Mus musculus: one gene and its partners. The protein of the gene in region 2 purifies or fractionates together with the protein of the main gene of each other region. This does not show direct contact. Links are inferred from orthologs where the notes say so. Each region holds a gene or a part of one and is shown on either strand. Other genes may lie near its edges. The genes, in order: Cdan1, Asf1b and Nasp.

What was found.
Region 1: the proteins of Asf1b (region 2) and Cdan1 purify together in Homo sapiens (co-immunoprecipitation; 5 studies listed by BioGRID and IntAct, counting the BioPlex papers as one, with this or other methods). This does not show direct contact. The link is inferred for Mus musculus from reciprocal best matches to the Homo sapiens genes ASF1B and CDAN1.
Region 3: the proteins of Asf1b (region 2) and Nasp purify together in Homo sapiens (affinity purification with mass spectrometry; 5 studies listed by BioGRID and IntAct, counting the BioPlex papers as one, with this or other methods). This does not show direct contact. The link is inferred for Mus musculus from reciprocal best matches to the Homo sapiens genes ASF1B and NASP.

Annotation. Positions count from the first base shown.
Region 1 is NC_000068.7:120,718,539-120,721,624, forward strand, and holds part of Cdan1 (codanin-1), read right to left. Parts: intron 2,473-3,086; coding exon 2,344-2,472; intron 2,260-2,343; coding exon 2,196-2,259; intron 2,068-2,195; coding exon 1,886-2,067; intron 711-1,885; coding exon 603-710; intron 390-602; coding exon 264-389; 3' UTR 1-263. UniProt on the Homo sapiens protein: May act as a negative regulator of ASF1 in chromatin assembly.
Region 2 is NC_000074.6:83,962,181-83,965,834, reverse strand, and holds part of Asf1b (histone chaperone ASF1B), read right to left. Parts: intron 805-3,654; coding exon 689-804; intron 1-688. UniProt on the Homo sapiens protein: Histone chaperone that facilitates histone deposition and histone exchange and removal during nucleosome assembly and disassembly. Cooperates with chromatin assembly factor 1 (CAF-1) to promote replication-dependent chromatin assembly.
Region 3 is NC_000070.6:116,617,948-116,621,601, forward strand, and holds part of Nasp (nuclear autoantigenic sperm protein), read right to left. Parts: intron 1,034-3,654; coding exon 923-1,033; intron 1-922. UniProt on the Homo sapiens protein: Component of the histone chaperone network. Binds and stabilizes histone H3-H4 not bound to chromatin to maintain a soluble reservoir and modulate degradation by chaperone-mediated autophagy.

The DNA of each region.
Region 1 (3,086 bases), on a different chromosome or scaffold from region 2:
AGCCCTTCTGTTCCAAGATCGGAGTCTCTGGGCTTTTCCACTGTGACTCTGAATCAGGTTCTCCTTCCTCTAGATCTCAGGTGTTGAGGCGGGCCGGTGTCTGGATGCTTGAAGCAACACACTTCCTTCACTTAGGAGCAGCAAGCCCGGTTACACACCTGGACACTCTTGCCCCAACAAGGCGTGCAGTGGGGTCTTGAGGCTCCTCCTGAGGCACAGGAGGCAGGTTCTGGTGACATGCCCAAGAGGGCTGCTTCCTAGCCCTAGCTTTGGGCCAGTACTGTCCCTCGGTTTGGTTGCATAAGTTCACAAGCTCTTAGCTGGGGTTCTAGCAGATGGGGCTCAGCTAGGAACAAGCGAAACAGTGTTGACAATTCTTCTGAGAAGTCCTGAAGTAAGTAGAAAGGTTAAGAGAAAAAGTAATTCTGGATGTTCTGTCCTTTCCAAGGTCAATCCTAAATAAGCACTCACAGCCAGGAAGACACTGATAACCCAGCGGTTTCATCTAATGTCTTCTATGCAAAAGCAGATACAAATCTCCATGACTGGTAAACTAAGGTTTATTAATGTATGACAAAGCAATTAACATTAAGACTCCTTACCCCTGGCCACTGGGCCTCATTAAGGCGGCCTAAGCAGGCTTCTATCTCCAGATGTCCCATGAGATCCTTTTCTACCAGCTCCCGGAGTAAGAACAACAGCAGATCCCACTGTAAAACACCACGGAGAAAGTCAAAAGTTGTCAGGATCATTGAGTAGTCCTAACAGTAGAGACTGAAGACTGGATAGCAGTCCCAAGAGTAGACATCTGAAAGGATGGAGCTGGGGTTGGAGATAAAGCTTAACATGCTGTTAAGAGCAATTCCAACACTCAGGAGGCAGAGGCAGAGGTAAGAAGATCTCGAGTTTGAGGCCAGCCTGATCTACAGAGTGAGTTCCAGCTATACAGTGAGTTCCGGCTACACAGAGAAACAATATCTTGAACCACCTCCCACCCCAAAATAAATAATAAAAAAGTAAATAAAATAAATGCAAATAAACACAGAAAAGAAAGGAAAAGGAAAAGGTGCCCCAAGGAGGAAATTGAGACAAAAGGTGCATGTTTTAGCAAGGATGAGGAAGAGAATAAAAGAAGCAGCTGTTATAAAATCCGGGGTGGGCACTGGATAATGTTAATAACATGACTTGCAGGGAATGAAGGGGTTGACTGCTCAGCAAAGTTCTGATGTGCAAACATGATGGCCTGTGTCATGGGAGACTAGAAGCATGGGTCAGCTTTCCTATGTTCATATCTACAGGGCTGGCTCTCCCACAACTCTTGCGATGTGTAAGGCTGCTTTCTGGAGTACTGTAGGTGGTTAGGGTAAGGGTCAGCTCTCTTACTCTCACCCCCAGGGCCAGCTCTTCCTTGGATCCATGTAGTACAAGTATCTACCTGTAACCTTAGTGCAGGTGGGGCTAGATAGGAAACCCTGTAAGCCAACTGGTTTAGCCAATCGGTGAGTCTCAGGTTCAGTAAGAACAATGCTCACTGACAAGTACACACTACCTCCCACTATGGCTGCAGGAGCTGGGCATGATGGCTCATATTTGTAATCCACACTTGGGGAGGCAGAGGCAGGAAGAAATCTGTGAATTTAAGACCAACATGGACTACAGATTGAGATCCTATTTGAAAATCCACATGTATGTGTCTAGAGTGATGGCTCAGAGGTTGAGAGTTGCTTGTTGCTCTGCAAATCAATTCTCAGTACTGACATGGTAGCTCATAGCCACCCTTGTTCTAGGGGATCCAACATGGTGCACATTCATGCAGAAAAAAACATTTATATACATAAATCTAACTACTCACCCACCCACCCACCAGCAAAAACTACTGGCTTACCTCTCTTGGCCTAGTATCTGCCAGAAGCCCTACATTTCTTGGGCTAAGTAGAAGCTGTAATGGAACTGGCCCCTGGAAGTCATCCTTCCACAAGGAAAGCAGCATATGTAGAAGCCTCCGAGCGTGTCCTCGCTCCAGCCTGTGCTGTGTTGGGGGCCCTAAGATGGGGATCTGGTCTGCAACTACAGGGAAGAGAAGTTTTAAATGGAGGCAGAAGAGCACATCCTATGCTCCTAACCCTGCTTGTACGCAACCTTGGGGTTTGGGGAATGTAGCATGAGGGACCTGGTGGAAGAGGAACCATACATACCTAGAAGGGAAGCCAACTCTACAGAGCACTTGGCCAGATGCTGCTCAGCAGTTGGGCACAGGAACTATGGGGGGAAAGGAGACATGGGCGTCATTCTTACTGCTCTGAGGATTGGTCCTGAGCCAATGTGGCTCTTCCCACATCTCACCTGGCGGCATCGCAGTGACTGGCCCATCTGGTTTAGAAGCTGTTCCAGATGCTCTGGGGAAACTCCCTCCTCAGGGTCCCGAGGCCCGGCCGCCAGGGAGAGCACATCCTGTAGAGAGCAGTGATGAAACTTCATGCCAGAATGCCAGAAACTTGGTTTGGGATGGGAACCAGCCAATGGAGAGAGGCAGAAGGAAAACAGAGCCCAAGGGGGTGAAGCAACTGGGTCAAGGTGTTCTTATGGCTGAGGCTCAGGCAGTAACAGCACAGCTAAGATAAGCAATTATATGGACAATCCAGAGGGAAGTAGATGTAGTGGTAAGGCTGTAGACTGTGTGCTGCCACAGAGCTCAAAAGATGAAACTCACTGAGATAAAACTACATAACCAATTCCCAGATGGTGTCTTAAAATACTAAGGGAAAATGTCCTATCTAGAGTCTGAATACTCCTCTTTGATGCTCCTCTGAGACCTCAAACTAGAAATCCTCTGCATATTGAGAAGCAGTCTAGCTTGATACCTTTTTCCCTCCTTCCTATAGTCCCCACCTATGGGCATTGTTTTCTAGTCTCTATTTCTTTATTATAAGACCACTACTTTGTTTGGAGCAGGGCCAGATACTATTTTAGCTCTTGGGAGTCACAAGGCCTAAATATTGCTCCAACTATTCATCCCTGCTTTGGTAGCACAAAAACAGCCACAGATGATTATAAATAAATGGATCAATAAAACTTCATGTATAGGG
Region 2 (3,654 bases):
GTGCTGGGAAAATCTTTGTTCAGATATGGGCTAGTGCTTCTGGCTAAGTTCCTGAGTCAACCCTTATTAGTAAGGTATTTGAGAGAAGGTCTTACTGCATAGCTTAAGTTGGATCCAAACTATGTGTACTGGGTTATAAGTATATACTGCTGTGCCCAGCCCTGGCTGATAAACAAGTAACAAGGACTCTTGATCCTTATTCTTCCTTGAGGGGAATAGTTCAATATTCATGAACTATGTTTATGGGTTTTATACAACTCCTGTGAACAGATCACAAATTAGTGGTCCAGTGGTCACTAAGAACTGTGACCCAGAGGTCCCCACTTCTGGGGAGGGGAAGGACATCTGATGAGACTGGGTGAGTTCAGAGTGGTGGTCCTTTAAAAGATAGCTTCAATCAGACAGCTCCTGGCAGTCAACTGAGACATGTGGCTCAGGCAGGCCTTGAACTTGTGGTCTTCCTGCTTCTACATCCTAAGTAGCTGGGATTACAGTAGTTTTGTCACCAGTCCAAGTTTAAGGATTTGAACTTAAACTTGACTGCCAAAACCAGTGTGCTTTCAGGTAAAAGAGGAAGGTTCTAGGCTTAGGTGTGGCTCAGTAGTGAATGTCTAGTATGTCAGGCCCTGATTCCATCTCCAGCCTGAAACATTTCTGGAAATCAAGAGCTAAAGCAAAACTTACTTACCTGAAAGACGAACATATGCCTTCCTGCAGGGACAGGGCCCACCAGCACTGAATCTAGGATCTGATCAAACTCCTCACTCTCAGCTGAGCCCACATAAATGATCTTCCACTCCAGGTCTGCAAGAACATGGGGGATAAGGGAACTGAGGTCTTAAATAGCTGGAGAGCAAGGCAAGGGTCTTCTTGTCAGCATTAGGCAAATCTGAATATACTAGAAGGTCCTATGAACTGGTGTGTTTGCTGGGCTGTCGGTTCTGGCACCACAGTCCTGATTAAGAGCAAATATGAAGATCTATTTTAATGGAGACATTTCTCCTGTGGGCCTAACTTGGCCAAGTGACCTTGACTCTGGCCCTCCCGGGAAAATTAGGCCTCTCAGTAGCCGAGAGGAACCATATAGTAGAGGCTGACTTGAGTCCTGTGACATCAGCTTGTGAGGGAACAGCAGGGAGTTGGGCTACCTTGGTCTCTGGGTAGGAAGTGCCATCTCATTCTCTTTCACAGAGGATTGGTGCCACCTAGTAGAGCAAATCCCTCGATAACTGGGGCAGGGTGGCAGATTCCAATCCAGCAGGAGAGCCAGGTGGCAGGAGGGGAAAGGCAAAGCTGTGGGGGGGGGGGGGAACCAACTTGTCCCAAAGTTGTCCACATCTGGCACCAACTCATGCCTACTTGTGCACATTGTGGGACAGAGGCTCTGCCAGCAAATGTTGTATGACAAGGCATACCTCCAAAACCTGACAATGTACTCCATCACTAAGGGACTCAGTCCTGGAGTATACCCATAAGAGATCAAAGAAAAAGTACCTGGAGACCCTTCCTATTAATCTCAGAAGAGCCCTGGTACTCATAGCCTCTTGTAGAGGGGCCAAGTGTTACCAGGAGCAAGGTCATGCTAGTACAGAGACGCTTGGCACCAGACCCAGAACTTATTTTAGGCTCTTTGAAATTACACAACCCCTAGCTCCAGCAGCTGGGAAAAGTTGCACAAGCTGAAATTTTCACAGAGAGCTCTTGGAAGCTGCCTGGCTCTTGGTCCAGTGTGGTACGGGCATCCAACACTGGAAGCACACAGATATCAGATCATACTATGGAGTTTGTCACCTGATCCATAAAGCTTTCCTTTATACGTCACGTCCACTCTCTTGTTCCTTCACAATCCCACCTACATCTTTCTAGGTAACCCCATGCCCATGGTTCATCAGGTTCAAACTCCAGCCTTAGTACTTTGGGGAAATTATTTAGTTATTTCATTTTTAAAGTTTATTTTCTTATGTGCCTTTCCTTTTATTTTATGTGTGTGGGTGTTTGCTTGCATGTGGGTCTATGTGCCCTTTGGTGCCTGTACCCACAGAGGCCAGAAGATGGTGTTGGGTCTGCTGGAACTACAGGTACTGTAGGGGGTTGGTCTAGTGCTGCTTGTATTCAAATGCTAAATTCTGTACCCAAGATCTGGTTACTCCATGATGAGCATATCTTCATGTATACCAGCCTTTGTTGTGTAAACCTTGCTCCACATGTTATCCCCGACTGGTTAATAAAGATGCCTACAGTATGTAGCTGTGCAGAAGAGAGGAAGGAGGGCCTCAGGTACTGGGCTTGGGGTCTCAGACAGGGAACATGGTGAGAGAGAAGGAAGAAGTTACCATGAGATAGGTGGATTGTAAGTGCATGACCTATTGGAGTAAGAGTGGCCAGGCAGAACATGGCAAGTTCTCAGTTATTGACAGGGAAGTAGACAAAATAACATAAAAGGTTGATATCTGCCCAGCTCTAAAATTTTTAAGCTTATTATAAAGGTAAAGGTTATTGTTTTTCATTTGAAAACTATATAGTCCAAGTGGGATAGAAATCCCCAGAATAATATTTACCACAACATTTTGGCAAACCAACATGGGGTGAGAACTTACTTATAATCCAAATTGAAATTTCAAATTTCCTGGATGAAAGGTATGTTGTCCCATTAAGATAGAAGTAGTTAATCACTATGTGGGATGGGAGCTAACCCTGGGTTCCCTAGAAGAGCAATCAGTGCTCTAACTGTGGAACAATCTTTCTAGCTGTCCCTAGCTATTTATTTCTTAGGAGTGCTGGTGATGGAACTTAAGGTATGTACATGCCAAAAAAAGTGCTATGCATCTGAGCCATGCTCCCAGACCCATAAATTTAGTTTTATAAAAAGTGACACTCTAGAATCAATGATTCTGGAAGGACAGAAAAGTATGCGACCCTTGCTTGGCCTCACTTTCTAAGATGGCTCTGTCAAGCTCTACTTTCTTCAGGCCCCTTCCCCATACTCCATGGTGCCACATATTCATACACTTAATTAATGTGTTGGAGGGAAGACTAGGCAAAAAAAGAGCTTGACACAGAAGAGTCCCTTGTGTCCCCAAGGCACCTAACATTGCTTAGTTTAGGTCAATACTGTTGGTAAAATCTATTAAAAGGAAGACTGTAGTGTACGCTGGAAGCATCTTCTTGACATGGGCCAGAAACAGACCCAAGAATTCACAAAAGACCACATAAATACTGACTGGCTACAGTCAGAGCTGATCAAATCTTCTACAGGGCCCATAAACTGCAGTCATTTAAAATTTGATGATTTTTTTCATATTTTCTTCCTTCAAAAGATAGATTGCACTGGTATATGCCTTTAATCTCAATATGTGAGACACAGCTTTAAAAAAAAAGACAGAGTTGGGTTTTAGAATTGGCTCTGAGGATTAAGGCACTTGCCACAAAATATAAAGACTCAGCACAATCATTCTCCAGAAAACACATGATGGAAGGAGAGAACTGACTCCAGCAGGTTGTCCTCTAACCTCTGCGAGCACTCGCACATACATACACATATGTAAAAACAAAGGAACAAATGACAGTCTTCCTATGTAGTGTAGGCTAGTCCAGAACTTATAACATATCTGCAAGCCTTCCAAGTATTGGAATTACAAGAGTGCACCCATGTGT
Region 3 (3,654 bases), on a different chromosome or scaffold from region 2:
AAAGTTGAGAGTTTTAAAAAAGCTGCTGCTGCTCTGGCAGAGAAACTGGGTTTGATTTCAAGTACTCACATACTTGACAACTCACAATTTACTACCAAAGGTATCCCAATACTCAATCATGGATTCCATAGGCACTTGGCACACATATGGCATATGTACATACTTTCAGGAGACATATTCATACATATAAAAAATTAAAAAATAAAAACCAAACTGAAGCCAGGCGTGGTGTCGCATGCCTTTAATCCCAGCACTCGGGAGGCAGAGGCAGGCGGATTTCTGAGTTCTAGGCCAGCCTGGTCTACAAAGTGAGTTCCAGGACAGCCAGGGCTACACAGAGAAATCCTGTCTCAAAAAAACCAAAACAAACAAAAACAAACAAACAAACAAAAAACCAAACTGATATCCCAGTAGAATAAGGGAATAGCTTAATGGTAATGTACTTGCTTATCACCTAAAAGGTCTTAGAATTGAACCTAAGTAAATTTTTCATGAGTTTCTCTGTATACCTGGATGTGCTAGTACTCCCTCTGTAAACGAGGCTGACATCTGCCTCCAAAATTCTGAGATTAAAGGAGTGCCCCACCAATACTCGTCTCTGAGGCATATTTTACATAATAAAAAGTAAAAAATGAATTAGTTTTCCTCTTAATCATTAGTGACTATGATGAAAATCACCTTCTTCAAAAGTTAAATGAAATTACTTTATTATAATAAAAACTCATCCACAGAAAATAAAAAGCCAGAATTGTTTTCATGGTTCAGACAATTAGACATGGGATTTCACGTATATTAGGTAAGTATTCTACCATCATACTCCTATACCCACCCCACTTTCAATCTTCCTTCTTTCTCCCCATAGAAAACCTGTTACAAGTTTGTAAGCTATTTACTACTGTTTTACAACAGAACATATACTTACAAAAGACTAGCTGCTTCCTGGAATGCATTAACAGCTGCTGGAATGTCACCCATCACCAGATGTTTCTGTCCTAATCCCAGTAGTTTCTTAGCTTCACTATCCACATCCAGACTGAAAGAAAAAAATATATTTAGTGCCAAATACTGTTTACATCAATATTAATTGGATATATTACATTTACACCATAATAGTTAAAAAGACCTAATAAAGCCGGGCGTGGTGGCGCACACCTTTAATCCCAGCACTTGGGAGGCAGAGGCAGGCGGATTTCTGAGTTTGAGGCCAGCCTGGTCTACAAAGTGAGCTCCAGGACAGCCAGGGCTATACAGAGAAACCCTGTCTCGGGGGGAAAAAAAAAAAAAAAGACCTAATAAATTGACCAAGTAGATGCATACACCCATGATCACTGTAAAGGTAAAGGCAGGATGACTGAGAATGAGCTTCAACTACATACCAAGATACTATATGAAAAAAGAGAAGACCTGCTATGTCACATTTACTTTAAAAAAAAGAAAAAGAAAAAGAAATTAGGGCTGGCGAGATGGCTCAGTGCTCTTCCGGGTCCCGAGTTCAAATCCCAGCAACCACACACATGGTGGCTCACAACCATCCGTAACGAAATCTGATGCCCTCTTCTGGAGTATCTGAGGACAGCTACAGTGAACTTACATACAATAAATAAATCTTTAAAAAAAAATTAAAAATGCAACTTTCATAAAACCTTACAAAACATGCTATTATAAATAGATGCTAATTACACAACAAAAGAACCACCAAGGAAACCAAAAGATATACACGCTTACTAGCTAAAATTAAAAGTAAAACATATGGAAAAAATAAACAGGTAGGGTTGAGAATGGAGATATAACCGTGCTTTCCTAGCATGCACAGAGCTTTAGATCAGTCTCTAGTACCATATACACAAAACATGGTTAGTAGATAACTATAATATCCATTCTCAGATTATAGAAACAGGAGACCCTGTCTCAAAAGCAGAGAGATTATGGTGGCACAGCTTTGATCCCAGCACTTAAAAGAAATATGCAAGCAGGCTGGGCAGCAGTGGCACACACCTTTAATCCCAGCACTTGGGAGGCAAAGGCAGGCTATTTCTGTGTTCAAGGCCAGCCTGGTCTACAGAGTGAGTTCTAGGACAGCCAGGGCTATACAGAGAAACCCTGTCTCAAAAAACCAAAACCAAAACAAAAACAGTAAAGAGCCAAATATTTCTGTTTTACACACGCACGCACGCACGCACGAGTATCTCTGAAAATTCACTGACACCCAAGACTACATAGTGAGACTCTGACTCAAAAAATAAAAGGAGGAAATATGGACCTAACTCAGTTGATAGCATTTGTCTAGTATGTAAACACAGAAATCTCTGGGTTTAATCTCCAGCACTGCATAAAAGCAGGTATGGTACAACAGACCTGTGATCTCAGCAGTTGGAAGGAGGCAAAAAATTTAAAATTTTAAGGTCATCACAGGAAATACAGGGAGACTAAAACCAACCAGTGTTATATGAAACCCTCTAGAAGGAGGGGTAATACCCTAAATAAATGAGCTAGGTGTGGTGGCCTGTGCTTTTGACCCCAGAAGAGGCAAGCAGACCTCTAAGAATTCACGGCCAGACTAGTCAGCATAGTGAGTTCCAGGACAGCCAGGGCTGTTATACAGAGAAATAGGAGGCTACAGTATTAGCTCAGTGGGTAAATATCTTGTTGAACAAGCATGAGGACTGGAGGTGGATCCCTAAGACCCTCTTAAACGCAGGGTAGACCAACTTGTATTTCCAGTACTTAGAAAGTAGAGAAGGGATCCTACTCAGCAAGATCTGGGTTCAGTTGAGAGAGCTGTATTCAATAAATGATCAAAGATTCCCAATATCAACCTTGTACCTTTGACTGAACATGTGTGCACAGAACACACACACCATACAAATATACAAGCACATATACAAAGTAGGCATGCCACAAACATAAAAATAAAATTAAAAAAAAAAAAAAAAAACTAAAGCATGGTGACACACCCTTTAATCCCAGCACCGAGAAGATAGGCATAGGTCAGCATGGTCTACATGGTGTGTTCCAAGTGAGTCAGGGCTAAAATAAGGCCTTGTTCTCAGAAGGGGAAACATGGTACATGTGGAATGTGAGTGATACAGAGAGGCTAGCAACAGCTCAGTATAAGCATTGGACCTAGATTCAATTCCCAGCACCCATATGGCATCTAGTTCAAGGGGATCTAGTAACCTATTCTGGCTTCCAAGTAACACTAGGTACACAGTGCATAAATGAACATGTAGACAAAACACCTATACACATAAAATAGTAAAAAATACTAAGTAAATTTAAAAAACTGTTTCCAAGAGGTGTATGTGGTGTGACTAAGTTGAGAAAATGTCTACCTGTGGATGAATCCTTAGATTTAAAGCCTAGAATAGCATAAAACCAGTATGGTGGTATAAATCCCCAGTTACATAACAAGTTAAAGATTAATGCCAGCATTTAGTAGAAAGGAATGGGAGTGGATCTCACAAGCCACATTGACAGACCATGAACTGAAGCTAAAGGCAATCAGCCTTCCTATTTCAACTCACAGAATACAATTAAGAGCTAACATGCTTCTTACCACATTTTTTTTAAAGTCACTTCTAATATCAAAAATGATTTAATGAAATTAGAAGTGACTTTAAACTATTGGGGCATGAAATTCACCGATGATCAAAA